Linked DNA regions of Anolis sagrei. The protein of the gene in region 1 purifies or fractionates together with the protein of each later gene. This does not show direct contact. Links are inferred from orthologs where the notes say so. Each region holds a gene or a part of one and is shown in the gene's direction. Other genes may lie near its edges.

Evidence for each region.
Region 2: the proteins of FBL (region 1) and NOLC1 fractionate together in Homo sapiens (co-fractionation; 3 studies listed by BioGRID, with this or other methods). This does not show direct contact. The link is inferred for Anolis sagrei from reciprocal best matches to the Homo sapiens genes FBL and NOLC1.
Region 3: the proteins of FBL (region 1) and SIRT7 purify together in Homo sapiens (affinity purification with mass spectrometry; 3 studies listed by BioGRID, with this or other methods). This does not show direct contact. The link is inferred for Anolis sagrei from reciprocal best matches to the Homo sapiens genes FBL and SIRT7.
Region 4: the proteins of FBL (region 1) and DDX24 purify together in Homo sapiens (affinity purification with mass spectrometry; 3 studies listed by BioGRID and IntAct, with this or other methods). This does not show direct contact. The link is inferred for Anolis sagrei from reciprocal best matches to the Homo sapiens genes FBL and DDX24.

Annotation. Positions count from the first base shown.
Region 1 is NC_090034.1:87,654,768-87,661,912, reverse strand, and holds the start of FBL (rRNA 2'-O-methyltransferase fibrillarin), read left to right. Parts: upstream 1-4,132; 5' UTR 4,133-4,247; coding exon 4,248-4,257; intron 4,258-4,373; coding exon 4,374-4,460; intron 4,461-7,145.
Region 2 is NC_090023.1:147,385,035-147,392,629, reverse strand, and holds the start of NOLC1 (nucleolar and coiled-body phosphoprotein 1), read left to right. Parts: upstream 1-4,595; 5' UTR 4,596-4,620; coding exon 4,621-4,734; intron 4,735-7,595. UniProt on the Homo sapiens protein: Nucleolar protein that acts as a regulator of RNA polymerase I by connecting RNA polymerase I with enzymes responsible for ribosomal processing and modification.
Region 3 is NC_090022.1:113,750,497-113,757,357, reverse strand, and holds the start of SIRT7 (NAD-dependent protein deacetylase sirtuin-7), read left to right. Parts: upstream 1-3,852; 5' UTR 3,853-4,018; coding exon 4,019-4,114; intron 4,115-5,539; coding exon 5,540-5,677; intron 5,678-6,861. UniProt on the Homo sapiens protein: NAD-dependent protein-lysine deacylase that can act both as a deacetylase or deacylase (desuccinylase, depropionylase, deglutarylase and dedecanoylase), depending on the context. Specifically mediates deacetylation of histone H3 at 'Lys-18' (H3K18Ac).
Region 4 is NC_090021.1:317,347,356-317,354,932, reverse strand, and holds the start of DDX24 (ATP-dependent RNA helicase DDX24), read left to right. Parts: upstream 1-4,572; 5' UTR 4,573-4,642; intron 4,643-7,577. UniProt on the Homo sapiens protein: ATP-dependent RNA helicase that plays a role in various aspects of RNA metabolism including pre-mRNA splicing and is thereby involved in different biological processes such as cell cycle regulation or innate immunity.

The DNA of each region.
Region 1 (7,145 bases):
TTCTGGAGGAGATGTAGTTTTAAAAGGAAATTTTCAGAGATGTTCCCAATGCCCATATGTTTTGATTTACTGCCATATTGGCCTGTTTCTGCAGTAGGCCTTTGTTTACAGAAAATGCTGTCTGTTTGAGAAAATCGTGCTGCGAAGGGTAACAGTACATCCAGACAAAACCAGCTAGCTAGTGGATACCTAGAACCCTCTAGTTTACCAGGCCCTCTGGAATTATGTTTGAAACAGACTAACAGATATGATTGATTCATTAAGGCAGTCATGGTCAGAAACAATAGACTATAGTTGTACTATAGTTGTTAGGGTCCCACATGTGATAATATGTCAATCAAAATCATAAACAACCAATGAGCAGCTGTAAAGCTAGCTTAGACCAATGAAATGATTTGTCTGTGGGAACCAATGAGAATGTGTATGCCAAAAATGATAAAAGCTCTGCAGACAAACCTTTGATTGCATTCCTATGTGCATGTTTGTCGATACAGTGTTCTCTCGCTACTTCGCGGTTTGCTTTTAGCGGACTCGCTGTTTTGCGGTTTTTCAATAAATATTAATTTAAAATATATATCGCGGTATTTTTGCTGTTTCATGGGTTTTTGCTGCCTTCGCTCTCCAACACACTTTCCCTCCTCGGTCCTTTCTCCCTTGAAGGGCCTTTCCTTCCTGCGTTCTCTCTCTTCACCTGGTGAAGGGAAAGGTGAGGAGGGCTTGCTTTCTTTCCTTCTTTGCCACCGCACTGACAGGGAGGCAGGTACGGGGAGCCCCGGGGGAAGGGGGGGAGGAGGAGGAAACCTCATGCACAGCTACCCATGCGGAAGATTCAGGAGTGTTTTAAAAGAAACAGGTACAGTACATGTACTGTACAGAACAGTGTGGGAAAGGTTATTAAGGGAAAGGATTATGTAGTGTATATGTGTGGGGAGGGTTTATTTTAAGTTTATAAAGACTTTAAAAAGTGTAGGTAAAAGGTAAAGGTTGTCCCCTGACATTAACTCCCCTAAGTTTGGGCATTTGGAGTGCCCCCTCCCCCCCCCCCATCGGTGCACCTTCACTTCTTTTTTGACTTGGGTGATGGTTGGAGTATTTATATAGGTATCTATCTGTGTGTGATTTTGGCAACTGGACTGATTGATAAATGGCAAATAGAGGGAGAAAACGTGGAGACAGTGACAGACTTTGTATTTCTAGGTGCAAAGATTACTGCAGATGCAGACTGCAGCCAGGAAATCAGAAGACGTTTACTTCTTGGGAGGAAAGCAATGACCAATCTCAATAAAATAGTGAAGAGTAGAGACATCACGCTGGCAACCAAGATCCACATAGTTAAAGCAATGGTATACCCTGTAGTAACCTACGGATGTGAGAGCTGGACCATAAGGAAGGCTGATAGAAGGAAGATAGATGCTTTTGAACTGTGGTGTTGGAGGAAAGTTCTGAGAGTGCCTTGGACCGCGAGAAGATCCAACCAGTCCATACTTCCAACTGCTCACTGGAGGGAAGGATATTAGAGGCAAAGATGAAGTACTTTGGCCACATAAGGAGAGGAGAGGAAAGCTTGGAGAAGATCATGATGCTGGGAAAATGGAAGGAAAAAGGAAGAGGGGCCAACCAAGGGCAAGATGAATGGATGGTATCCTTAAAGTGACTGGCTTGACTCTGAAGGAGCTGGAGGTGGTGACGGCCAACAGGGAGCTCTGGCATGGGCTGGTCCATGAGGTCACGAAGAGTCGAAAGCAACTGAACAAATAAACAACAACAAAATTAATATATGTGCTAGCACTTGGTATTGATCGTGCTTCCTGCAGTGGGGCAACAAATACTCCGTCACACTCTGGAAGCCATGGTTTAATTATTTCAGGATTTGAGGTCCTCTGAATGATATGACACTTATTTGCCTGCTTGCTCTGCCTCTTTAGCTCCAGTTCTCCCCAATATCTTCTATATAAATAAAAATGTAATGTTCGTTTGTGGGATTAACTTAACTCAAAAACCACTGGACGAATTGACACCAAATTTGAACACAAGACACCTATCAGGCCAATGAGTGACCACCACTCAAAAAATTGAGCTTATCATTTGGGAGTTATAGTTGCTGGGATTTATAGTTTACTTACAATCAAAGAGCATTCTGAACTCCACCAATGGTGGAATTGAACCAAACGTGGCACACAAAACTCCCACGACCAACAGAAAACACTAGAAGGGTTTGGTGGGCATTGACCTTGAGTTTGGGAGTTGTAGTTCACCTCCATCCAGAGAGCACTGTGGACTCAAACAATGATGGATCTGGACCAAACTTGGCACGAATATTCCATATGCCCAAATATGAACACAGATGGAGTTTGGGGGAAATAGACCTTGACATTTGGGAGTTGTAGTTACTGGGATTTATAGTTCACCTACAATCAAAGAGCATGTTGAACCCCATGAGATAGAACTCATAGAAATGAGGAAAATGGAAGGAAAAAGGAAGAGGGGCCAATCAAGGGCAAGATGGATGGATGGTATCCTTGAAGTGACTGGCTTGACTGAAGGAACTGGGGGTGGTGACGGCTGACAGGCTGGTCCATGAGGTCACAAAGAGTCGGAAGCGACTGAACAAATAAGCAACAACATCAATATGTGTGGGTTTTCTGTAAACTCTGTGACTCAACTATTGATTGGGTTTGCAACCGTACCTCGCGAAGGCTGATCTGGCCGGGGTGGTCCATGCCTTGGTCACCTCTAGATTGGACTACTGCAATGCGCTCTACGTGGGGCTGCCCTTGAAAACGGCTCGGAAGTTCCAACTGGTCCAACGAGCAGCGGCCAGGATGTTAACTGGGGCCCCTTACAGAGAGAGGTCAACCCTCCTGTTCAAGGAGATCCACTGGCTGCCGTTTATTTTCTGAGCCCAATTTAAGGTGCAGGTGCTTACCTACAAAGCCCTGAACGGTTTGGGACCATCCTACCTGCGTGACCGCATCTCCGTCTACAAACCCACGCCCTCACTTCGGTCAGCTGGAGAGGCCCTGCTTATGATCCCGCCTGCGTCGCAAGCGCGTTTGGTGGGGACACGAGACAGGGCCTTTTCTGTGGTGGCCCCCCGACTCTGGAACACCCTCCCCAAAGATCTTAGACAGGTCCCTACACTGGCAGTCTTTAGAAAGAACCTGAAGACCTGGCTGTTCCGATGTGCCTTCCCAGAATAGGAAATCTCCAATACCAAGTCCCAGAAGCACTTTATTAAAACTAAGATTACTGCACACTGCACTTGCCCTATAAGCCTTATATACCACCTGTCACATCAGCACTTTTAATCCTGTACCCATTACTCTGGCCCGGCCCAGTTTTATTGTGTCTTAGTGTATTGTTTATTGCTTGTTGTTTATTTATATTGCTTTAATTGTTTTTAATTTGCCTTTGGTTTGTATTGTTGTATTGTGCGTTGAGGCCTTGGCCTTTGTAAGCCGCATCGAGTCCTTCGGGAGATGCTAGCGGGGTACAAATAAAGTTTAATAATAATAATAAAATAATAATAATTTGCAGATAACTACTATGACATTTAGAAATGGCAGTTTTCCTTCATTTTCTTTTTCCATAGTGAATTGGATGTTTGGGTGGATGCTGCTGAGGTGGTCCAGGAACTTGTTCAGCTCTTTTTCTCCATTTTCTCTGGTTATCCCTTCTTTTCCAATATCATAAGCGCTGGTTGTTTCCAAAATGGCAGCATGGGTGGGGAGAATTAACAGGAAAACGAGGAAATGGTTTCACTCCTTCAGCCCCTCCCTCCCTTGGAAAATGGGTTCTCCTTCTCTCTCTCTCTGGCGCCTCCTTGTGGCCTCCCCCTCAGATAGTGAAACTAGCCAAAGTTATTATAATAACGGACATTTTGTAAATGTCGCTACAGTTTTCCATTTCTCTGTGGAGGCGCCTTGTATTCACAGAAGCGCCAGAGCAGACACAAACAGCCATGGGCCTAATCTGACCTTCCAGCTGGAAACGGAACAAAGATGGCGCCGACTTCAACAAGCAAACGGCAGCGAAAAGGCCTGGAATTGAAAGCCCGCACAGCGCATGCGTAGAATGCTCGACGTCAGTTGAGGCGGGCTTACGTTACCCCGCCCCCTCCCCGGCCTGCTCACGCACTTCCGGTGCGCCAAGGGATCCTGAGCGCGTGGGGCTCTGCGTGCTTGCACTTCCGGTCTTGGAATTTCAGGCGCGTGTGGCGTTCGTGCGGTCTGTGATCGGCAAGCAAGATGAGGCCCGGTGAGAGCGAGGAGAGGGAAGGAAGGAGGGGAGCCCTTAAGGCCGGAGGGAGGGAGGGAGGGCCCGAGAGGCCGCCCGGAGCCCGGCCTGACGTCTACCTTGTGCTCGTCCTGCAGGTTTCAGCCCTCGCGGGGGACGTGGGGACCGCGGAGGACGCGGCGGCTTCGGGGATCGTGGACGCGGAGGCTTCCGAGGAGGTCGAGGTGGGTTTCACGCTCGGTTTATTTTCAGTCCAAGCTGCCAGAAGTTCCTTTTTTGGATTACTCCCAAGTTTGTAGTAGGCGCAGAAACCTGCAGAAAGTTCTTCCTCGTGTTTAATTCTTCTTCTTCTTCTTTATTTATTAATTATGTATTTACTTCATTTGTATACCGCTATTCTCAGCCCTAAGGCGACTCATGGCGGTTTACAACAATCAAGCAAGAACAAGGCAAACAATCAGGCAAAAATTCAATGCGGCATCAACAAGATACTTAAAAACAATTAACACAGAAACAAATTAAACAATTTAACAGTAATAAACATTCAAGTGGTGCCTCATAACTACAATCATGATCCAAACTCGTCAGTCGTGGTTCCATTTCCTGAAGTCATTGCACTGCTTATTCAAGCGCCTGTTCAAATAGCCAGGTTTTCACTTTTCCCCGGAAAACCATCAAAGAGGGAGCCAATCTAATGTCCGTGGGAAGGGCATTTCACAGCCGAGGGGCCACCACCGAGAAGGCCCTGTCTCTCGTACCCGCCAGCCGTGCCTGTGTTGCAGGCGGGATCGAGAGCAGGGCCTCCCCGGAAGATCTCAAAGTCCTAGTGGGTTTGTAGGTGGAGATGCGATCGGATAGGTAACTTGGAAACTTTATACCCCGCCACCATCTCCCCAAGGGGACTCGGGGCGCCTTACATGAGGCTAAGCCCAACAATTACAACAGTGCAAATATACAACATAAAAATACTATAATGAAAATAAAATACAAGAAGCTGCCAGAAGTTCCTTTTTTGGATTACTCCCAAGTTTGTAGTAGGAGCAGTAACCGGCAGAAAGTTCTTCCTCGTGTTATTATTATTATTATTATTATTATAAAACTTTATACCCCGCCACCATCTCCCCAAGGGGACTCGAGGCGGCTTCCATGAGGCCAAGCCCAACAATTACAACAGTGCAAGTATACAACATAAAAATACAACAGTAAAAATATAATGAAAATAAAATACAAGAAGCATTACAAAGTAACACACACGGTGCAAATTAAAAGCACAATAATTGGGCACAGTGGGCAGGGCCAGTTGCAAAGTTAAAAAGATTTAAAACACTGGGTGGGATGAGCAGTGTAGTGTATCTGGAAGGAGGATCTGATGGGACGAAACAATGGGGTTTAATTGCACTGGAGGATATTTATTTATCGTGTCATCTGCAACCAGAACATTGTATTACATTTCTAACAGGACAAAACAAACAAACAGATAAAAAAAACACAAATTTTGCAAACTTGGTAGCTGATTAAATGTCCTTTGACCAGTATCTGGCCACTTGGAGTGCCTCTGGTGTTGCCACAAGAAGGTCCTCCATCGTGCATGTGGCAGGGCTCAGGTTGCATTGCAGCAGGTCGTCTGTGGTTTGCTCCTCTCCACACTCGCATGTCGTGGATTCAACTTTTTAGCCCCATTTCTTAAGATTGTCTCTGCATCTCGTGGTGCCAGAGCGCAGTCTGTTCAGCGCCTTCCAAGTCGCCCAGTCTTCTGTGTACCCAGGGGGGAGTCTCTCATCTGGTATCACCCATGGATTGAGGTGCTGGGTTTGAGCCTGCCACTTTTGAACTCTCGTTTGCTGAGGTGTTCCAGGAGGATAAAATAAAGTGCATCCGAGGGCATTTTATGCAGGGTTTGGTCAAGGTCAGGGATTGTTGATCATTCATTGAAGGCACACTGGAACAGCCAAGTTTTTAGGCTCTTCCTGAAGACTGCCAGGGTGGGCGCTTGCCTAATTTCTCCGGGGAGCGAGTTCCAAAGCCGAGGGGCCACTATAGACAAGGCCCTTTTCCTCATCCCCACAAGTCGCGCTTGCGATGGAGGCGGGAGCAAGAGAAGGGCCCTCCGGAAGATCGAAGGGGTTGTGTAGGTTCGTGGAAGGAAATGCAGTCACGAAGGTAGTTAGGTTTTTGTCTGCCATTTGAAGCTATTTCTCCATTGTGTCCTAGTTTTTTCAAAAATGACAAAAGATTGAGAACATGGAAAAAGAAAAACACTTGTGAATTCATAGCTCCATCTGAACAACAACTTGCTCAGGCATGGGCAAACTTAGGCCCGCCAGGTGTTTTGGACTTCAACTCCCACATTTCGTAAGGGTAGGCTGTTACGAATTATGGGAGTTGTAGTCCAAAACACCTGTTTGGTGTTTTGGACTTCAACTTTGTCCATGCTTGAGTTAGCTGATATTTAGGGAAGATAAGATTTCTGGAATCAGGATATTCTTTGTGCTATTTGGACAAGCTTAAGAAGCTACCCCAAGGTTCCAAATTGTTTGAGGAGAATATTGTTGCACCAGCTCCACTGGCTGCCAGTCTGCTACCAACCATAATTCAAAGTGCTGGCTTTAGCGTATAAAGCTCTAAACAGTTCCAGCTTACCTGTCCGATCATATCTCTCTCTATGAACCACCTCAGAGATTAAGATCGTCTGGGAAGGCCTGCTCTCAGTCTTGCTTCCTTGCAAATGCTACTGCAAATGCGAATTTAATTTAAATTTTTAGTGGTATTGGAATTATATGTGTTTTAAAGCATTGAATAATTGGAGTTGGAAGAGATCACAAGAGCCATCCATTCCCACCCCTTGCCATGCAGGAACACCCAATCAAAGCACCCCCGGCAGATGACTATCCAGTTTCTGTTTTAAAAAT
Region 2 (7,595 bases), on another chromosome or scaffold:
GGAAATATATGGACCAGCACATTTCTCTTGCAGGGAAGTACCTGAGCGACTCTCCATTATGTTTTCTTGCACGTCACATTGAGTAGTGGAAAGCAGAACTAGCCCTCCTACCGTGCAGGTGGTTTATACCAGAAAGGAAAACCATGAGCAGTAGACCTTCCCTTACAGACCCCGTGAGTTCCTCATTATATAATTGTGGCATGAATCTCTTTGTTTGCTCTGCTAATCCCTGTGGTACTCTTTCTTGTTTCCTTTCCATGGTTAGTCAGGTACCATGTACTGCTCCCCACAGGAAAGTCATAGCTGCAGGTAGTCATCTTGACCGGACCATAACATCAGGCTGGGCAAGTGAATCCCTTACAGGCCAGTCTGTATGTAGGTAAGTTCCACTAAACTCAACAGTACTAGCAGTGATGCTTTATATCAGGCCTTCTTAAACTTTTCCCACTCACAACCTGTTCCTCCCAAAAAATCTTTATGTGATTTCACATATATCTATATAAATAAAAATATAATGTTTGTTTGTGGGATTAACATATCTCAAAAACCACTGGATGAATTGACACCACATTTGGACACAATATACTTATCAGGCCAACAAGTGACCATCAGACATAAAAACACTGAAAAACACAGGGACTTGAAAAGCCAAAAAAGCAAAAAAACGCTACATGTGCAAAAGTGACTCCCCTTGGCAAACAAAACACACAATAGCATATCCAAACCCTCTTCCAGACTACAGTTCCCAACATCCCCTAGACCAGACCCTTTAGGAGAGGAGGATGATCCAAATGCACTGCTTCCAAGCTGCAAGCTTTCTTCTCCTTGGATTTCTTTGAGAGCATCCTAATCCCTGCATATTTCCAATTTCCTATTACTGGATTGCAACTCCCAGCAATCCTCCAGATAGATAGATTAGATGGAGATAGGTAGGTAGGTAGATGGATCAGGAGGACTGTTGGGAGTTGCAGTCCAAGAATAGGTAGAGAAGGAAGAAAGGAGGGAAAGAGGAAGGGAAAGAAAAGGTGAGAGGAAGGAAGGGAAGAGGAAGAGAAGGTGGGAAGGAGAGCAAGAAAGAAAGAAAAAAGAGGAGGAAGGAAAGAGGGAGAGAAGGAAGGAAGTAGAGAAAGAAAAAAGAGGAAGAGGGAGGGAAGGTTAGTCACAGCAACGTGTGGCGGGTACAGCTAGTAGGTATATAAAATAGGTATACAAGTCAAGCATGTATTCAATATAAATCATCAGTTGCAAGGCATACTAAAGAGGCTGTTTTTCCTTTTTGTGGAGTACTGCTGAAGCACTTTCTGCAGAGTCCACTGCAAACATTATGTGATAGGTTTGTTTAAAAGCCTAATACAGCCACCAGGTGGCATCCAGAAAATGTTCACAAGTTTTCAAAGGCCCTTCCAGACAGGCCCTATATCTCAGGATCTGGTCCCAGTTTTCCTGTTTATCCCAGATTATCTGGCAGGGCGGATTCATATAATCCAGTTTAAAGCAGAAAACCTGCGGTCAGACCCTGGGAGATCGGGCCTGTACAGAAGGGGCCAAAGGCCCCTTCTACACTGACATATCATCCAGATTGTCAAAACACATCCAGATTTCAACTGGATTATATGAATTTGCACTGCCATATAATCCAATTTAAAACAGACAATCTGGATTTTAAACGGCAGTGTAAAGGGGCCAAAGCTTCATGACTTCTTCATCAGGCAAAGCTGTGAAAATCATAGAGGAGAAAATTGTGATTATGTTACAGTCTCAGACCCCTTCTACACTGTCATAGAAAATCCAGATTATCTGATTTTAACTGGATTATATGGCAATATAGACTCATATAATCGGGTTCAAAGATATCTGCTTTGATAATCTGGATTATATGGCGGTGTAGAAGGGGCGTCTGAAATTTTGTCAATTACAATTGTACTGCCAGATTGAAAAGCCACCTTCCTGATTGGTCTCAGGGGGACTGGGGTAAAGAGCAATACAAGACAGGTAACAAAATTTCAAATAATTTAGTAACAGAAAAGTAACTTCTCTGTCCCAGTCCTATGCAAAGCCAAGCTTTCCTTTCTTTGACAGAGACATTGTGTTCTTCTGTGTATCTCTACCCAGAAATAAACCTACTGAAGGACTCATCTGAAGTATAAGAGTTAGTATAGAATTTTGCTCCAACTGATTTAGAACAACAATAAGGGTAAATAGTTCATGTGATCCTACGCAAGCATTTTTCAATCAAAATGACTGTTCTGTGACCATTAGAGAAGATTAGGCGCCCTTCCACACAGCCCTATATCACAGAATATTTATTTATTTATTTATTTACAGTATTTATATACCGCTTTTCTCACTCCTAGGGGGACTCAAAGCGGTTTACACATAGATAATGGCAAAAAGTAAATGCCTTACAACTACAATAGTAAAACCACACTTTAAACATAAATCATATTAAAAACGGTACATCCCCAAATATCAAAACAGCTATTAAAACCATAAAACAATCTAATCAGTCGAGTCACCGTTCCAGTCCTGGTTCCACTAAAAGCTGCATACATCTATTGTTTGAAGGCCTGGTCCGAGAACCATGATTTTAATTTTTTTCTAAAGGTCAGGAGCGAGGGAGCAGATCTTACCTCCTTTGGGAGTGTGTTCCATAGGCGGGGGGCCACAGCCGAGAAGGCCCTGCTCCTTGTCCCTGCCAGCTGCATTTGCACTGTTGACGGGAGCAAGAGCAGGGCCTCCCCAGATGATCTTAAATTGTGAGGTGGGACATAGGGGCAGATGCGTTCAGACAAGTAAGCTGGGCCCGAACCGTATAGAGCTTTATAGGTCAAAACCAGCACTTTGAATTGGGCTCGGAGATGTTCCGGCAGCCAGTGGAGCTGGCATAACAGGGGGATGGTATGCTCCCTGTATGCCACCCCAGTTAGTAATCTGGCTGCTGCTTGTTGAACTAACTGAAGTTTCCAAACTGTCTTCAAAGGCAGCCCCTTTGCAGAAATTTATTCGGGATGTAACCAGAGTGTGGACCACCGTGGCCAGATCAGACTTCCCAAGGTACAGGCGCAGCTGGTGCATGAGTTTTAACTGCAAAAGCTCCCGTGTCCACCGCCAAAACCTGGGTTTCCATGCTCAGCGATGAATCCAGGATCACTCCCAAGCTGTGAACCTGCGTTTTCAGAGGGAGTGTAACCGCGTCCAACACAGGCTGTAACCCTATGTCCTGTTCGGTCTTTCGACTGACCAGGAGGACCTCTGTCTTGTCTGGATTCAATTTCAATTTGTTAGCCCTCATCCTGTCCAACACAGCAACCAAGCACCGGTTCAAGGTCTGAACAACCTCCTTAGTGACAAAACTATGCATTCCCTGATTATAAACTATCTTTTATTGGAAGTGGGGGGGGGGGGGTCACCTTCGACTACAACCCCATCCACACAGCTGAATAAAATCCCACATTTTCTGCTTTGAACTGGAATATAAGGTAGTGTAGACTCAGGGCCCTTCCACGCATCCATATAACCGAAAATATCAAGGCAGAAAATCCCACAATATCTGCTTTGAACTGGGTTATCTGAGTCCACACTGCCATATAATCCAGCTGTTTGGAAGGGACAGAAAATGCCATTAACTCGGTCTAATCAAGCTTCCAAAGAACATGGCCTTCATGAAAGAGAAAAGCCAAATAATGAACAGACAGTTGAAATTCTGAGGAAGAAATCACTATAAAATCGTTAACATAATAATATGGGAAAAAACAAATATAACTCCAAAACATGTAATAGAGGACCAAAATGATTAAGTATAAATGTAAATGGAAGGTTTTTCTGTAATACTTTGGTCATTTAATATAATTCTTTCTCGAATTGCCCCCTTACAAATCAAATGTATGTGGAGCATGTGGCCCACGTTGGAAATCAGGGGTATAGACCTCTATAATGCAGTTCCCCGGTGGCGCAGTGGGTTAAAGCGCTGAGCTGCTGAGCTTGTTGACTGAAAGGTCGCAGGTTCGAATTTGGGGAGCAATGTGAGCTTCCGCTGTCAGCCCTAGCTTCTGCCAACCTAGCAGTTCGAAAACATGCAAATGTGAGTAGATCAATAGGTACCGCTCCGGCGGGAAGGTAATGGCGCTCCATGCAGTCATGCCGGCCACATGACCTTGGAGGTGTCTACGGACAACGCTGGCTCTTTGGCTTAGAAATGGAGATGAGCACCACACCCCAGAGTCAGACATGACTGGACTTAATGTCAGGGGACAAACTTTACTAATGCAGTTAAATGCAGTTAAAGTGCATTGTATGTGTAGATTCAAACTAACCTCTAAGGCCCCTTCTACACAGTCCTATATCCCAGAATATCAAGGCAGAAAATCCCACAATATCTGCTTTAAAATGGGTTATCTGAGTCCATACAGAGATAATTTTCTGACTTGATATTCTGAGATATAGGGCTGTGTGAAAGGTCCTTAATGATGACCATGGTTTTGAACTCGCACAGCCGGAAGTTCAGAGCGTGAGGTCTCTTTTAACTATTTCTATCTCTATGTTCTCCTCCCAACCAACCGCTCCTTTCCAAGGTTCGTGGGCGGGGCAGGGGGCGGGGCTGCGTCCTTTTCCGGCGGCAAGATGGCGGCGAAGACGCGTGTGGTGCCCAGCGACCTCTTCCCGCTGGTCTTGGCCTTCCTGAGGGAGAACCACTTCGACGGGGCGGCGCGCGCGTTCGGGAAGGCGGCCGGCGTGGTGAGGGCCTTGTGGGGGGCGAGGCCGGGCCCTGTCGCTCTCCGGAGGGGCGCTGCATGCGGGGAGGGCTGCTCCGCCACGTGGGACCCGGGCCTCCCTCCTGAGGGGCGCCCTGATCCGCAGGGAAGGCCAGGCGAGACCAGGTCCAGTTGGGCTTCCAACTCCCAGAATACCTGGCCATTGAACTTGCAAGGGCTTCTCGGGGTTGGAGGCCTCAACAGCTGGAGGGCCCCAGTTGGAGGAGGCCTCCTTTAGGATATATTACAGTGGCTGTCTGCTTAGCATTGCTGCTTTAAAAGAATGTGTAAAAACACCAAAGCTTCCAACAGTAGGGCCCCTTCCACACAGCTGAATAAAATCCCACATTATCTGCTTTGAACTGGGATATATGGCAGTGTGGACTCAGATAACCCAGTTCAAAACAGATATTGTGGATTATTCTGCCTTGATAGTCTGGAATATAAGGCTGTGTGGAAGGGTCCTCTAATGTGCAGCCTTATTTTGTAGAGGTAATTATGTAAAAAAAAAGGTGTTATTTTGCATCAGTTTATTTCAATTTATGCATTTTAATTTGATATTAGCTGTTTATATTTTATTTTGTTGTACTGTAATTCTGGGCTTGACCTCATGTTAGCTGCCGTGAGTTCCCTTTGGGGAGATGGTGGGGTATAAATAAAGTTTATTATTATTATTCTTTGAAACACAACAAGATGAGTCCACAGCAGACAAGATCACTCTGCTGGCTGTTGTATTGGATCACACGTCAGACACTTCCCAAGTGTATTGTCGAAGGCTTTCATGGCCGGAATCACTGGGTTGTTGTAGGTTTTTTCGGGCTATATGGCCGTGTCTAGAGGCATTCTCACCTGATGTTTCGCCTGCATCTATGGCAAGCATCCTTAGAGGTTGTGAGGTCTGTTGGAACTAGGAAAATTGGTTTATTTATCTGTGGAATGACCAGGGTGGGACAAAGGACTCTTGTCTGCTGGAGAAAACTGGACATCTAATCACCTCTCAACAGAGGTTTGCTCCAGGCACTGTCAGGCAATTATATGATAATCAAAGTGGTCAGTTGAAACATTCACACCTAGCTCCAGCAGACAAGAGTCCTTTGTCCCACCCTGGTCATTCCACAGATATATAAACCCCTTTTCCTAGTTCCAACAGACCTTACTACCTCTGAGGATGCTTGCCATAGATGCAGGCGAAACATCAGGAGAGAATGCCTCTAAACCGTGGCCATATAGCGCGAAAAAAACCTACAACAACCCACTTCCCAAGTGTCTAGGACTGTATGATGTATCGACAAATAATGTATGCAGATCCCAGTAAGGTGGCCTTCTCCAGCTGGCAGATGGTAATTTTGTCAGCGCTGATTGTCTTTAGGCACTGCACCCAGTGCCTTTAGGCACTGCACCCAGGTCTTTAGGTCTTTAGGCACTGCACCCAGTGTGCTGATCACCCCTGGGACCACCTTGACTGGCTTGTGCCAGAGTTTTTGCAGTTCGATCTTTAAATCCTCATATCATGTCAGCTTTTCCAGTTGTTTCTCTTCAATCCTGCTGTCGCCTGGGATTGCAACATCGACGATCCATTATTATTATTATTATTATTTTTATTATTATTTGAGTAAATAGGGATATAAATCAATGGAGAAACATTCACAGAAACTAGCTTAATATAAGTCGTATGAGTGGCTTGAAGGGGGCTGTAGATTTCAGACATAGCTTGGATATGGAGGTCAGTGTGTAAGTAAGAAAAACCAAAGGTTTGGCTTTGTCTCACTAAGGACCCTTCCATGCAATTGTATAAAATCCACATTGAACTGCATTATATGGCAGTGTGGTCTCAGATAACCCAGTTCAAAGCAGATATTGTGGATTACCTGCCTTGATATTCTGGGTTACATGGCTGTGTGGAAGGGCCCTAAGAAGCCTGAAAGGGCCTGTGATGCAAGTGTGTTGGCAACAAGACAACAGTTGCAATAAAGAAGATCCTTCTGAATGCATGTCCGAAACAGTTATTTGCTCTGATTATTGAAACCTTTGTGATTCTGTAACATTATGGAGAAGTGTTGCTGTTTTGGCATGCTGCTTTGATGTAAAATTTACTTAGGAGGCTCCACCATGGGCCCTTCCACACAGCCCTATATCCCAGAATATCAAATCCCACAATGTCTGCTTTGAGCTGGGTTATGTGAGTCCACGCTCAGATAATGTGGGATTTTCTGCCTTGATATTCTGGAATATAGGGCTGCGTGGAAGGGCCCCATGTCACATTTTCTCATCCCTATTACGGTTTCAGCAGCATTGCTGTAAGAGTCCCATACAGAGATCCTATATGGAGTTGTATGCACTATTCTAGGAATATGAGAATTTATATCCCATAATCTAGGAAAACGTGAATAGCTGTGTGTGTGTAATATTAAGATTAACTTGAAAGGAAATCTGGGAAGACATACAGGATTTTTCAAACGAACCTAATTTCAAAGCAGTATATTCCACGATGGCAGCATGTTACAATCGCACAAAAACTTACAAGTGGTTTAATGAGTTATGAGATTTTACTAACCATTTTGACTTGGAAACAAATCTGAAACATAATTCCAAAATGGATAGCATATCATTAGGCCTTATGTTGCAGGGCAGTGTGTTTGCTGGGAGAGGCATCTTGCCATAATCATGTGAAACTCCCACCATGTACTCAAGCACATATTTTGCCCTGTTTACTTTTGTGTCTATTTTACTGCTAGATAACTTTCCTGTCTATGAATAGTCTTACCACATTAGTTAAGACATATGTATTAAATTTGCCTGTGTATTTAACCGAATTGCTATGAATGTATACATTGGTACAGAGCC
Region 3 (6,861 bases), on another chromosome or scaffold:
CCACTTACCTGCTAAGTTAGGGACCAGAGCACTGTAAGAAAAGTGGAGTTGCTTGAAAAGTGGAGCCCAGGTTATTTTGGTTTGCAAAGCATTTTGGCCACTGAAAAGCTTAAACAACACATCCAGAAGAGTTTCTGCACACATTCAAAAGTTATTAAAGGAGTTGTGCATCAATAATAAAACATACGAGTATAAAAAGCAATTAATAAAATAATGATTAAACATTGTTTTTTCATAAAATAGTCCATTCATGAAATAGATGGTAACAACACTAAAACATCTGCACTAGGAAGTCTCTACATGCACCAAAAAAAAAACAAAAAAAAAAACGGTTGGCATTCGTCTAGTATCAGCGTTCAGAGCCAGCATTCTGAAAATCCTGTTTTGAACAACCTGAAGTGGACCATGATGGTCTTTCCAGATGAATTCAAAGACCTAACTGTGTGAGATACTCAGATTCCATGTTGCAGAAAGCTTTATAAACTGTTAACAAAACCTAAACATCCTGGTATCAAAGAGGCAGCCAATGCAAAAGCAAAGTATTCTGCACTGGCTGCAGCTCCAGACCAAGTTTAAGAGTAGCTTCATGTGGAGCTTAGGTTACCAATGTCAAGACCACTACCATCAGGCTTATTTGGTCTGGCTGAAGCCAGAGCATACCAGCTGATGGTGATAGAAGGATTACAGTGACAAAGGTGAAACACTTTCCACAATATTGGATTTCCATTTCAGGTATTGCATCTCTCAGCAAATTATACGTTATGCTTTATACCTGATAAATAGGATGTTCTTTCTTCAGTTTTGTCTGCTACCTAGAATTGCATTGGCCTCTCCATTGATGCCCAATAACTCTCCTGTATACTTTGTTGTGTTCTAAAAGAACATTTTGGTCTCATTGCCTTTGCATTTTTAAAGAGAAATCTGGGCTGGTTTTGTAGCCTTCGGGTATCTAATGCCTGTTTTTAGTTTGACAGAACAAAAATAGTGCAACAACATTTGCCCTACTAATACAAGGTCCTGTGCTGCCAGTGCTGAATTTAGGCCAATAATGTAATTTAAGTGGTGTGGAAGGGCAGTTGGGTCTTGTGTGAATGTGTACATTTCTTCACTGCAGAGGTCTAAGAAGACGAAGCACAACCACAGATATACTGTATCCCAGTAGTGCTATAGATGATTATGCTTTCTCATTCCCACCAACTGAGCTTGAGATGAGACTGAAAGAAGGGCCTCTCCTGAAGATCCCAATATGGGATGCGGTCAGCCAAATATCCTAGACCTGAACCGTCTAGGACTTTAAAGGTCATAACCAGCCTTTGAATTGTGCCTGGAAACAGACTGGCAGCCAGTGGAGCTGCTGCAACAGGGGAATTATCTGCTCTCTATAGGCAGCCCCAGTGAGCGGCTTGGCAGCAGCTCTTTGGACCAGATGAAGTTTCTGAGCATTCTTCAGAGGCAGCCCCATGTAGAGGGCGTTACAGTAATCCAGACGGGATGTAACCAAGGTGTGTACCATAGTGGCCAGATCTGGCTTCCAATGGCACAGGTGCAGTTGACACACAAGTTTTAATTGAGAAAAGGTCCTCCTAGCCATCGCAGATACCTGGGCCTCCAGGTTCAGTGCAGAGTCCAGGAGAACCCCCAAACTGCAGACCTGAGTCTTCAAGGGGACTGTGACCCCATCCAGCACAGGCTGGATCCATATTCCCTGATATGCCTTTCCACTGACCGGGACTACCTCTGTCTTGCCTGTATTAAGTTTCAGTTTGTTTGCCCTCATTCAGTCCCTTACTGATGACAGGCACTGGTTTAGGGTCAGAACAGCTTCCTTGGCATTAGGTGGAAAGGAGTAGTAGAGTTGGGCGACATCTGCATACTGGTGGCACCAAACTCCAAAACTCTGGGTGACCTCTCCCAGCGGTTTCATGTATATGTTCAACACCATGTGGGACAAAATGGAAACCAGATAACACGCAGTACATGTTAAAATTCCCTTTTCTACATAATAATTAAAAGCCCGGTAGCCACTCTGGCAATGGCCACACAAACCACAGAAGAGAGTGTTGCACATAGCTGTCTCTTCTTATCCAGCTAAGAAAAATGTATTAGGAACACCTAGGCCCCATCTACACGGGCTGTTAAGTGTAGTTTCAAAGTGGTATTGAAGAAAGTGGTTTTGCTGTGCAGATGATTACAGAGGAAGCCCTGGAACCAGTTTGCGGCCTGGAAGGTGATAGTACAAACCACAGAGCACTGGTGCACAATGGGAGCTTTCCTTTGCATGTTTTGGTGAAAACTTACCACCTGGCCACAGCAGTTTGAAGCTAGCGTTGAACTACATTAAATAGTTGGTAGACAGGAACATAGTGATCTTCCCTGCTCATATATATATAGAGAGAGGGAGAGATAGATAGATACAGTAGAGTCTTGCTTATCCAACCTTCACTCATCCAACGTTCTGTATTATCCAATGCAGTCTGTGTCCTGCCCCCACCCACAGCTGTTTTAATACACTGCAATGTTTTGGTGCTAAATTTGTAAATACAGTAATTACTACATAACGTTGCTGTGTATTGAACTGCTTTTTTTGTTGATTTGTTGTAAAACGTGATGTTTTGGTGCTTAATTTGTAAAATCATAATGTCATTTGATGTTTAATAGGCTTTTCCTTAATCCCTCATTTATTTATTTTATTGTGTCAGGAGCGAACCAAACAGTTGTCTTGCATTAAAACAAAGAAACAAAACACAAAATTTGCAAACTTTTATTAAATGTCCTTTGACCAGTAGCTGGCCACTTGGAGTGCCTCTGATGTTGCTATAAGAAGGTCCTCCATTGTGCATGTGGCAGGGCTCAGGCTGCATTGCAGTAGGTGGTCTGCTGTGGTTTGCTCTTCTCCACACTCCCATGTCGTGGATTCCACTTGCCTCAAAGCACATGTTTTTTTGGTGCTTAATTTGTAAAATCACAATGTAATTTGATGTTTAATAGGCTTTTCCTTAACCCCTCCTCCTTATTATCCAACATTTTCACTTATACAGTGTTCTGTGGATAAGCGAGACACTACTGTGTGTGTATACACACACACACACACACACACACACACGTAAGTTAAAATATGTATGTGTGTATATATGTGTGTATATGTACACCCTGTCCCCTAGGGCAGAGTACAAATAAAGTATTATTATTATTATTATTATTATTATTATTATTATTATTTGAAACAGAACAAGATGAGTCAACAGCAGAGATCATTCTGCTGGTTGTTGAATTGGATCACACGTCGGACACTTCTGGCGTGTCTAGGACTGTGTGATGTATCGATGAATAATGTGTGCAGATCCCAGTAAGGTTCCCTTTTGCGGCAGGCAGATGGTAATTTTGTCAGTGCTAATTGTGTTTAAGTGCAGGCCAAGGTCTTTAGGCACTGCACCCAGTGTGTCAATCATCACTGGGACCACCTTGACTAGCTTGTGCCACAGTCTTTACAGTTCGATTTTTAATTATTATTATTATTATTATTTTATTATTATTATTATTACTACATATTACGTGCAGCACTAAAGAGCCCAGGAATGCCCAAGACAGGTTCCCCTTGAGCTCTCCACTGTGAACAATACTTTTCCGGTGGTGTATCTAGACTGTAGAATGAATGCAGTTTGACACTGCTCTAACTGCCATGGCTCCAGAATGCGGGGAGTGGCGGGTCTTTCTCGGCCAGAGTGCGGGGCTGGGGCGGGGAGGGGGCGAGGCGGGCCAGTGGGCGGAGAGCGAGAAGCTTCCTCCGGGCGTCACAGAGAGGCGGCTGTCGCGCGAGCATTCTCCTCCTCGGCCGCCTTACGGTGGAAGCGCCATCCGACATTAGAGAAGCAAAGCCGTTCCCCTTTTGGACCGGAAGCGCCTCTGAGGACTGAGCAAAGACCACTCCAGCAGCCTGTGTGTCTGCTCTAGGAGGCCGGAAGCGGAAGTAGCGGGAACAGCCGCCGAGGCCGGCTGGCACCCGGAAGCGCCCGGGTTGATGGCGGCTGGTCGGAGTTTGAGCCGCTCCGAACGGAAAGCGGCGGCTCGGGCCGAGTTCCTCCGACAGGAAGAACAGCGGGAGCGGCGCAGACAGGTACAGCGGGGAGTGCCACTGAGGTACGAGGCCGGAGGGCAGAGGAGGAGGAGGGGGAGCGGGCACACGCCCCCTTCCCTGAGCGGGCCTTGTGCCCAACTGCCCGTGGTTCTGCCCGTCGTGCCGCTTTGTGCTGTGTGAAGAGGGGCGTATTTTACCAGTCCTCAATCTTCTGCCATTCTGCTTCAGTGTGACGTGAGAAGGGAAAGAGTGTCTTTCACTCTCTTTTCTGACCACTTAACCGTTATAGCTCCCCTTGCTGTCTCAATGTTACAGTCTTTGTTGTGTGTCTTTAAATTATTTTAATTCTTCACGATCCTGAGGTGGACCTTGTTCAGAGGGGCTTTGCCTTTGCTTGCCTCTGAGGCTGAGAGAGTGTGACTTGCCCAAGGTTTCCCTGGCCAAGCAAGGAACCAGATCCTGGTCTCACAGTGCCTCCGGCTGGTTCTACACTGCCATATAATACAGTTTGAACGGCATTGTATGGTCAGCGTAGAGCCATATACTGCATTTCAGTGCAGTTCAAACTGTGTTATATGGCACAGTAGAACCAGCTTCGGTCCATCACTCCACTCATAACCAAAACTAGTTCTTCAAAACCTTCCTGGTTTGTAAGCAGTGTTCTCAAATATTTCAGCATTGATACTGGCTAGTTCAGGGCTTATAGCTAAGTGTACTTAGCAGCAAGAATCATCCCCAAGGCCTCCTTTATGTAACAAGTTCTTATTAGAGTACACTCGCCTTTTAATACTTAATTGAAGAGTAATTTTAAAAATTGTGTGTAGGTGTTTGTAAGCAATTCTATTCAGTTATTTCTTGTTGATGCATAATGAAACAGTCCTCTGTTTCCTCAGAAATAAAGCCCACTAAATTATTCCCAAGCAAGTGTGTACATTGGGCCCTTGGTGTTTGATGTTTTGTCTTATGTGTTTGTGTTTATATGTTGGGTTGTTTAAATTTTGTCAGTATGGATGCAGTTGTTGTTGTATTCGGGCACTGAATGTTTGCCTTTTATGTTTGGAATCCACCCTCCCTTTGAGGAGATATAACAGAATATAAATAAAGTATTATTATTATTATTATTATTATTATTATTATTATTATTATTGGTGTCCAGTTGTGTTTGATTCCAGGACCCCTGTGGATCCCAAAATTCATGGGATGCGCAACTCTCGTTATACACAAAATGGCATTCCTTATATAAAATGCTGAACAACTCAAAGTGATTTCTAGAAGTGTTCCCCACTCACCCCCAAATATTTTCAAGCCATGGTTGATTGACTCTATGGATGTCATGGGAAGACTGTATAGAATTTTAGTTTCAGACTAACTACACACTCTACCCAGGATTTGTTGAGCTATTTCCACTCATGGGATGGCTTCTAATGAAAGTGTCCAGACACTTATCTTTTTGTTTAATCATAGGTGTCGCAAATTCTCCATAAGCCAGCCGCAGAAAGGAGCGCTGATGAGACTCTCTTTCTATCTGAGTGTCAAGAGATCGTACGAGATCTGGAACGGCTTCGCAAGAAACGTGAGCGATTGCAACACCGGCTGGAGGAAGTATGTATCCCTCTTATTTTACTACTATTAAGTATGTGCTTAGTATCTAAACCACTTACCACATCTTAAATGATGTAGCTGTGGTCAATAGAAGAGGAGAAAGAACGAGCTGCTTACCTGTATATGTTTCTTTGAGTGGTGATCTGCGAAATTCGCACATCTGGGTTTGTCCGCACATGCATGGTGCAATTCAGAACCTTCTAGATTTCTAAAATGAAACATTTTGGTGATAGCCCTGCCCACTCTCCCCATAGAGTGCAAGTATCCCAGGGCAGGGCTGAGCCTCCCATCTGCTAGACCAGCAGCTAAGGAGAAGGAGCATGCTAACAGCAGGGAAGATGGGCAGGAATGTGCGAATTTCACAGATCACTACTTGAAGAAACACGGTTACAAGTGAGCAACTCATCCTTCTTCGTAGTGTCTGTGAAATCACACATATGAGTGATTGGCAAGCTACTCCCCAAGGAAGGATCATGCCAGTGAAGGGAGAAGTACAGCTTTGCCAAAGGCCGCTTCCTTTATGTGCAAGGCATCTGGTGTGTAATGGCTGGCGAACCTGAGTGGAGTGGACCACGTCACCACCCGGCAGATGTCCTCTAGAGGGACTCCATGCAAAAAGGCTTGCAATGCAGCCATCGCCCTGACTTGAGTGAGCCTTGACTTGCTATGGTTGACAGCCAGCGAATCGACAAGGCGGACAAATCGTTGTCATGATCCAAGAGGAAAGACATTGCAAGGTGATTGGTTGGCTCAAAGCATGGCTGCGATACTTGAGAAATAATCTTGGTGATTTTCTGTGTGATGGTGTCCTATGGACATAGAAAACCAACAGTCTCCTCACATCCAAGGAATGAAGGGCCACTTCCAAGGCTGAAGAGTGATTTGGAAAGAACGCTGGCAAGATGATGTCTTGGCACATATGGAAGTGGGAGACGACTTTTGGTAAGTAGGTAATGTCCGTGCGAAGGACCACCTTGTCTTTGTGGAGATGAAGATGAGGCGGAGCTGCTTGCAATGCACACAGTTCGCAAGCACATCTAGCTGAAGTAATTGTGACCAGGAATGCCATCTTCCATGAAAGGAAGTTAGCTCAAATGGCAGCTTGGAGAGTTGGGGTAGAACCAGTTCCAGATTTCATGTCAGGAGTGGGGGTGTGACTGGTAGATGTATATTCTTGTCACCTT
Region 4 (7,577 bases), on another chromosome or scaffold:
TCTCAGCCCCAACGCACTATAGAATTGAAGGACCTCAACGAATTTACTAAGTCCTCCCCTGCAACTTTTGGTATATTACAGAATCACTTGCAGGACCTAGCAAATTCCTAGAGAGATACTGTATTTTCTGGCGTATAAGACTACTTTTTGACCCAGGAAAATCTTCTCAAAAGTCGGGGGTCTTCTTATACGGCAAGTGTGGTCTTATAGGGCGGATGCTGAAACTTCCGAGTCGGACCGGAGAATCTGTGGTTGCTGCATATTTTATTTATTTATTTATTGTATTTCTATACTGCTTTTCTCAATCCCTAAGAGGACTCAAAGCAGTTTCCAACATAATAAATGGCAAAGATTTAATGCCCCACAATCATATAAAACAATACATTACAACTAATGTATGGTGAGGGAGCTCAAAAACAGCCACGGACGCATCCCACAGTAAGCGGCAACCGTATGAAAGGAGCAAGGGCAGCGCTGTGCAAGTATGGTATAAGAAAATCCACTCACCAAGATTCGTGGAAAGAAGGGACTTAACGCAGTCCCGATGACAAGGCGAGGGGGTGCCTCATTAGGGAAGTGTAAGTGAAGGGAGGGTAAGCTGCAGGCATCCTGTGCCCAGAAAAACACACCTCAGTGCTGTGCCCAGAAAAACACACCTCTTTCACCCGTCTGGCCTGCCCTTGTATCCTATTACTGCACCTCCTTCTCTGCCTCTCAGATCTTGCTCCTGAGGAGTGCAGTGAAGCTGAGCAGACACGCATGTGTGAGATCTGAGAGGCAGAGAAGGAAGTACGGTAATAGGAAAATTACCATATTGAAATCAAATCAGATGTTTTTTAAAAAGAAATATTTGGTGTTCGTTGGAGGAGTAGTCTTATACAGCGAGTATATCCCAACCTCTATATTTTAACTGGAAAAACTGGGGGTCATTTTATATGCCCCATCGTCTTATACGCCAGAAAATATGGTAATTCCCCTTCTCCTGCTAACACAAGTAGTGTGCTGGTACGGATGTACCAGGAGCTCCAACTTTATTTATTTCTGTTAAAGTTTGCAGTTATAGGGCAGGCCTCCTGTCCATCTTAATTAAGCTTTGGTTCCGCCCCTTGTTCAGGCTTCTGGGAGGGAAAGGAGCCATTTTGGGCAGTCTCACACAAGGTAGCTAAACTATAGGACATAGACCAGCTCATCCCATAGAAAAGCTTCTTATCTTAAGAGCATCCAGGGAAAAGGAACATCCAGGGATACAGAAACAAAAATTCCAGGGAAAAGGTCCCAAAAACTCTGGCTGAGAGCTCTCAGCCTCACAGCAACAGAGGGAAAACAGCCCTGAAGTTTCAAAGAATTCTCGAAGGGAGGACAGCATTACAGATCCACTGAACTCCAGCTGAAATATCTTCCAGCCTCGGCTGGTAGGTCTACTCGATACCCAGACGCATTTGGAATCGGTAGTAGGACTCACACTGATGAGGCATAGATAGAAAGCAGCCTGGGAGAGGTTAAAAAGGGTTTTTTTCTACAGAGAAAGTTCAGTTAACCAAAGTCAGGTACCAGTCCATTGAAGACTAGACTAAGAAAGCCTTGAAGTGTTGTTTGAACCATTGAAGATTTGTTGTTTGTTCCACAATAAAGACTTTGTTGTATCATTAAAGACTCTAAAGACCATTACTTCAGAAAAATCCCTGAGAACCTCTCTTTGAGGCGCCCTGGCTTCCCGCTGGGCTTAAAGTATACGTCCTATAGAAAAGACAGCTGTTACAGGCCCAGCGCGCGACAGAACAAGTAGATTAAGCCACAGATATAATTTTTGTGCTTACAGAAGTTTTAGTATAATTTTAACACTGAGACGTTGTCAAGGGCTTTGTTTCAAGAGAAAATTTGACTCCTTTATGAACAGTAGTTGTGCAAAGAGAGAGAGAGAGATTTTTCAGACACGTTTCTATAGAGAAGAACTGTAACTTGCACCATAGCACACATTTTGGAGGGCAAGCAGTTCTAAATTAAATTCCCAGCATCTTCAAACAAGACTTAGTGCCCATCTACACTGACCACTTAAGTCCATTTCAAACTATTTTTTAAAAGTTGCTTTGCTGTGTAGATGACTACATAGGAAATCCTGAAACCAGTTTGAGGCCCAATGATGATTACACAAATCGTAGAGCACTGATGTGTATTAAGGACTTTCTTTCACAGTGTTTCTCAATTTTCAGTCCTCCATATGTGTCATATTTCAAATACCAAACACTCTAGCCAATGAACTTTGGGGGAATCTGTGAGCTGTAGTCTATAAAGTTTTCAGTCTCTGGAAATGATACAAAACTGGGATATTTCTAGAAAAGGGCAATGAAAATGGTTTTGTTTTTGTTTTTTCCATGTTAGGAGCGACTTGAGAAACTCCAAATCGCTTCTGGTGTGAGGGAGTTGGCCGTCTGCAAGGACATTGCCAGGGGACGCCTGGATGTTTTGATGTTTTACCATCCAAATTGAGGAGCAGTTTAAAGAGCAGATGTTTTGACTGGAGAAAAGGTAGTTAAAAGGTGACATGACGAGCCATGTTTAAATATTTGACAATATGCCCTGTTGATGATGGGGTAAGCTTGTGATAGGAGTGGGGTCCAATGTAAACTATTTCAACCCTTCCTGTTTATAGCAAAGAATGGGGGAAGCATGGCTCGAAACAGTACGTATGAAAAAGATCTTGGGGTCCTCGTGGACAACAAGTTAAACATGAGCCAAAAAAAAGCCAATGGGATTTTGGCCTGCATAAATAGGAGTGTAGTGTCTAGATCCAGGGAAGTCATGCTACCCCTCTATTCTGCCTTGGTTAGACCACACCTGGAATATTGTGTCCAATTCTGGGCGCCACAATTGAAGAGAGATATTGAGAAGCTGGAGTGTGTCCAGAGAAGGGTGACTAAAATGATCAAGGGTCTGGAGAACAAGCCCTATGAGGACCGGCTTAAGAAGCTAGGCATGTTTAGCCTGAAGAAGAGAAAGCTGAGACATGATAGCCATGTATAAATAAGTGAAAGGAAGTCATAGGGAGGAGGGAGCAAGCTTGTTTTCCGCTTCCCTGGAGACGGGGACGCGAAACAATGGCTTCAAACTACAAGAAAGAAGATTCCATTTGAACATTAGGAGGAACTTCCTGTGAGAGCCGTTCAGCAGTGGAACTCTCTGCCCCAGAGTGTGGTAGACGCAGTGTTTCTCAACCTGGGGGTCGGGACCCCTGAGGGGGTCGTGAGGGGGTGTCAAAGGGGTCGCCAAAGACCATCAGAAAACATAGTATTTTCTGGTGGTCATTGGGATTCTGTGTGGGAAGTTTGACCCAATTCTATTGTTGGTCGAGTTCAGAATGCTCTTTGATTGTAGGTGAACTATAAATCCCAGCAACTACAACTCCCAAATGTCAAGGTCTATTTCCCCCAAGCACCACCAGTGTTCCCATTTGGGCATATTGAGCATTTGTGCCAAGTTTGGTCCAGATCCATCCTTGTTTGAGTCCTCAGTGCTCCTCTGGATATAGGTGAACTACAACTCATAGAATCATAGAATCAAAGAGTTGGAAGAGACCTCATGGGCCATCCAGTCCAACCCCATTCTGCCAAGAAGCAGGAATATTGCATTCAAATCACCCCTGACAGATGGCCATCCAGCCCCTGTTTAAAAGCTTCCAAAGAAGGAGCCTCCACCACACTCCGGGGCAGAGTTCCACTGGTGAATGGCTCTCACAGTCAGGAAGTTCTTCCCAAACTCAAGGTCTATGTCCACAAAACCCTTCCAGTGTTTTCTGTTCGTCATGGGAGTTCTTTGTGCCAAGTTCGGTTTAAATCCATCGCCGGTGGAGTTCAGAATGCTTTTTGATTATAGGTGAACTATAAATCCCAACAACTACAACTCCCAAATTACAAAATCAATCCTCCCCACCCCCCACCCCCTCCAACCCCACTAGCATTCACATTTGGGTATATTGGGTATTTGTGCACAATTTAGTCCAGTGAATGAAAATATATCCTGCATATCGGATATTTACATTATGATTTATGACAGTACTAAAATGACAGGTATCAAGTAGCAACGAAAACAATATTATGGTTGGGGGTCACCACAACATATGGAACGGCATTAAGGGGTCACGGCATTAGCAAGGTTGAGAACCACTGTGGTAGAGGTTCCTTCTTTGGAGGCTTTTAAACAGAGCCTGGATGGCCATCTGTCAGGGGTGATTTGAATGCAATATTCCTGCTTCTTGGCAGAATGGGGTTGGAATGGATGGCCCATGAGGTCTCTTCCAACTCTTTGATTCTATGATTGTGATGTGAAGCATAATGACCCAATGATGGGAGTGGGGTGCAATGTAAACTATTTTAACCCTTCCTGTTTATAGTCTTTCGATTCTGTTGTTGTTTTTGTGATCCTCTTGCGCATCTTCTTTTTATTATCAGCCAGGGAGGGAGAGACACACAGTCTAGCTAATTCACCCTCTAGGAGGTGAGTAAAAAGCAGCAGCAATACAGTGGAGGCGCTGACACTTCCGGGCGCAGGGTACTGACGTCACGCGCCATGGCCGCCTCCATAGGCTCCCACGTGGCCGCCATTCCCGGAAGCGCCGCCGCAGCTGGAGGAGCTCAAGATCCAAAAGGTTGGTACCAAAAGGGCCGGTTCTGTAATTGCACCTTTCGGAGAGACTAGATACAAGGCAGGGAGGTGAAGGTTTCTGTCCGGAAACATTGTAAAGGAAAGCAAGGCGGAAGGGAGTCAGTAAAAGGCTCTTTCGCCTTGCCTGCTTATGGAGACTTACTCTTTTTTCATCTATACATCTTAAGCGTTTTTAAAGGACCGCTGCCCTGCTTCCGGAGCTTTGAGCCATGGCATTTAAAGTGGTATCAATCTATATTCATTTTACGGTGTAGATGCACCCTGAGAAATAGTGGGTAGATCAAAGTCACATCTACACTAGGCATGGGCCAACTTCAGCCCTCCAGGTGTTTTGGACTTCAACTCCCACAATTCCTAACAGCCTAAGTGCTGGGTTGTTGTGGGTTTTTTCCAGCTATATGGCCATGTTCTAGAGGCATTCTCGCCTGACGTTTCGCCTGCATCTATGGCAAGCATCCTCAGACCTCACTACCTCAGAGGATGCTTGCCATAGATGCAGTTGAAACGTCAGGAGAGAATGCCTCTAGGACAGTGGTTCTCAACCTGTGGGTCCCCAGATGTTTTGGCCTTCAACCCCAAGAAATCCTAACAGCTGGTAAACTGGCTGGGATTTCTGGGAGTTGTAGGCCAAAACACCTGGAGACCCACAGGTTGAGAACCACTGCTCTAGACCATGGCCATATCGCCCTAAAAAACCTACAACAGTGGTTCTCAACCTGTGGGTCCCCAGATGTTTTGGCCTTCAACTCCCAGAAATCCTAACAGCTGGTAAACAGGCTGGGATTTCTGGGAGTTGTAGGCCAAAACACCTGGAGACCCACAGGTTGAGAACCACTGCTCTAGAACATGGCCATATAGCCCGAAAAAACCAACAACAAACCAGTGATTCCGGCCATGAAAGCCTTTGACAATACAGCCCAAGGGCTGTTAGGAATTGTGGAAGTTGCAGCCCAAAAACACTTGGAGGGCCGAAGTTGGCCCATGCCTGATCAACATTGTAGAATTCATGCAGTTTGTGACCACTTTCACTTCCATGACTCAGTGCTATGGATTTAGCAAGATCTGATGCTTTCTCTGCCAAAGCTGTGGCTGCTTCAGCAAACTACAAATCCCATTCGATAACACTGAGCGATAGCAGTTGAACTGCGTTACGGCAAAAGTATGATAGCTGGGACCCAATGCTGAGACAACGCAGCGAGTAAGAGACACAGGTGCAACAGAGTCGTGGCAAGTTAGCTCAGCAGGAAGGGGGGGGGACATAAAGTAGGGGGGACAACAAGCAGCCAAGCATAGTGCTTAAGGCTATCCGGATATCGTATGCAAACACATTCAAATTCGTAACATCTTCGCATCACGCAACCAGCATTGGGTCCGAACTATCATACTTTTGCCTACATTACTTACAATAATAATATTTTTATTTCTTATCCAGCTCCCTGTAGCTCAAAGCGGGTTACAAAACACTTAAAATACATAAGCACAGCAAAAACACTGCAAATACACACACTAAAACATACCTCCATAAAAGTTACACATCAAAACATATATCTACAAAATGCTGAGGTGTTCCAGTTATTGCATCTGTAGATCTTAAAAAAACTATTTCTTGATTTAGGTTGTTGGAGTGCTGGCTGATATCCAAGCAGGGAATGGGCCGGAGAGGTCACTGCCTTGGTCCTTTCACTATTGGTTGCTACTTTCTGGTGGATGTCAAGTGGTGCAATACCGGCTAAATAGTGTAATTTCTCCAGTGGTGCACGGCACAGACACCCTGTGATAATGTGACATGTTCCACACTCACCATGCTAAACCAGAACTCACCAGAAGCTCACCAGAACTCACGACACTCACCAGAAGCGACCAGAACCCTATCCCTGGTTTGTTTAATCAAAATATATTCTGGATGATTTTACACTTAAATTAAACACATTTCCTAATTTCTTATATAATAATCATATCTAGGTTTTGAGTATTTTTTTACTCTTGATTTTTTATGAATAATATCCCAGTGCCCCCAAATGTCTTTCATATCAAAAACAGAACAAGAAAGAAAATAATTTTAAAAAATGTGGAATCAGTTGCCTATGAATCACTCCTGTTCAGATGTGTAGCCAGTAACTACATAACTGATACTACTATCAATATTATGGAGACCGTAAATCTAATAGTTAGCCTTTTGTAGTTTTATTTTAAAATTCCTCTCAAATGTGAATTTTAAGATTTTTCACTGAACCCCTCCCATGCTTTTGTTGGACCCTAGGGTTGCTCTAAGCTGCTCTTAAGCATCCGTTTCATTTTCATTTCTGTGAGTGTAATCCTGGGATTTTCAGTTCATTAAGCACCAGAACTAGTGTCTTACTGACAACTCCTCCCTAAACTACAAAAACCACGAGTCCATAGGTGCAACTATGGCATGTTCAGTGAAATCACAGCACTATAATTTTGCATTCTTTAAGAGCCCTAAAATTTTGCACAAATATTGCAAGAACGGTACTGTATATATGTAGACATAAATGTGTAAGCTTTCATCATGTTGTTATTTCTTAGCTAAAGCAAAAGCGAATGTGGTTTTTGCCCTATCCCTACAATAGATCCAAACAGGAGTGAGAATAATAACAATGGATTTTTTATTGCCCACCTTTTCTGATTGCTCAAGGCAGGTACAACAAAGTCAAAAACACATGAACATAAAACACATACAATTAATTACGTAGATTAAAAACACAAAAATATAACAAACTTGCACCAAATGCAGATACAGAATTGACATATAGTAACAATAGAGTGTAAATCAAAACTCATGTTGAAAGTTAAGTGGGTATTTTGTATTACTTTAACATTAATTCTTTTCTGGTAATTAGTTTATAACTGTCCATTTTGCATTTCTGATGTTGTGTGATTTTAAATTGAATGTTTGC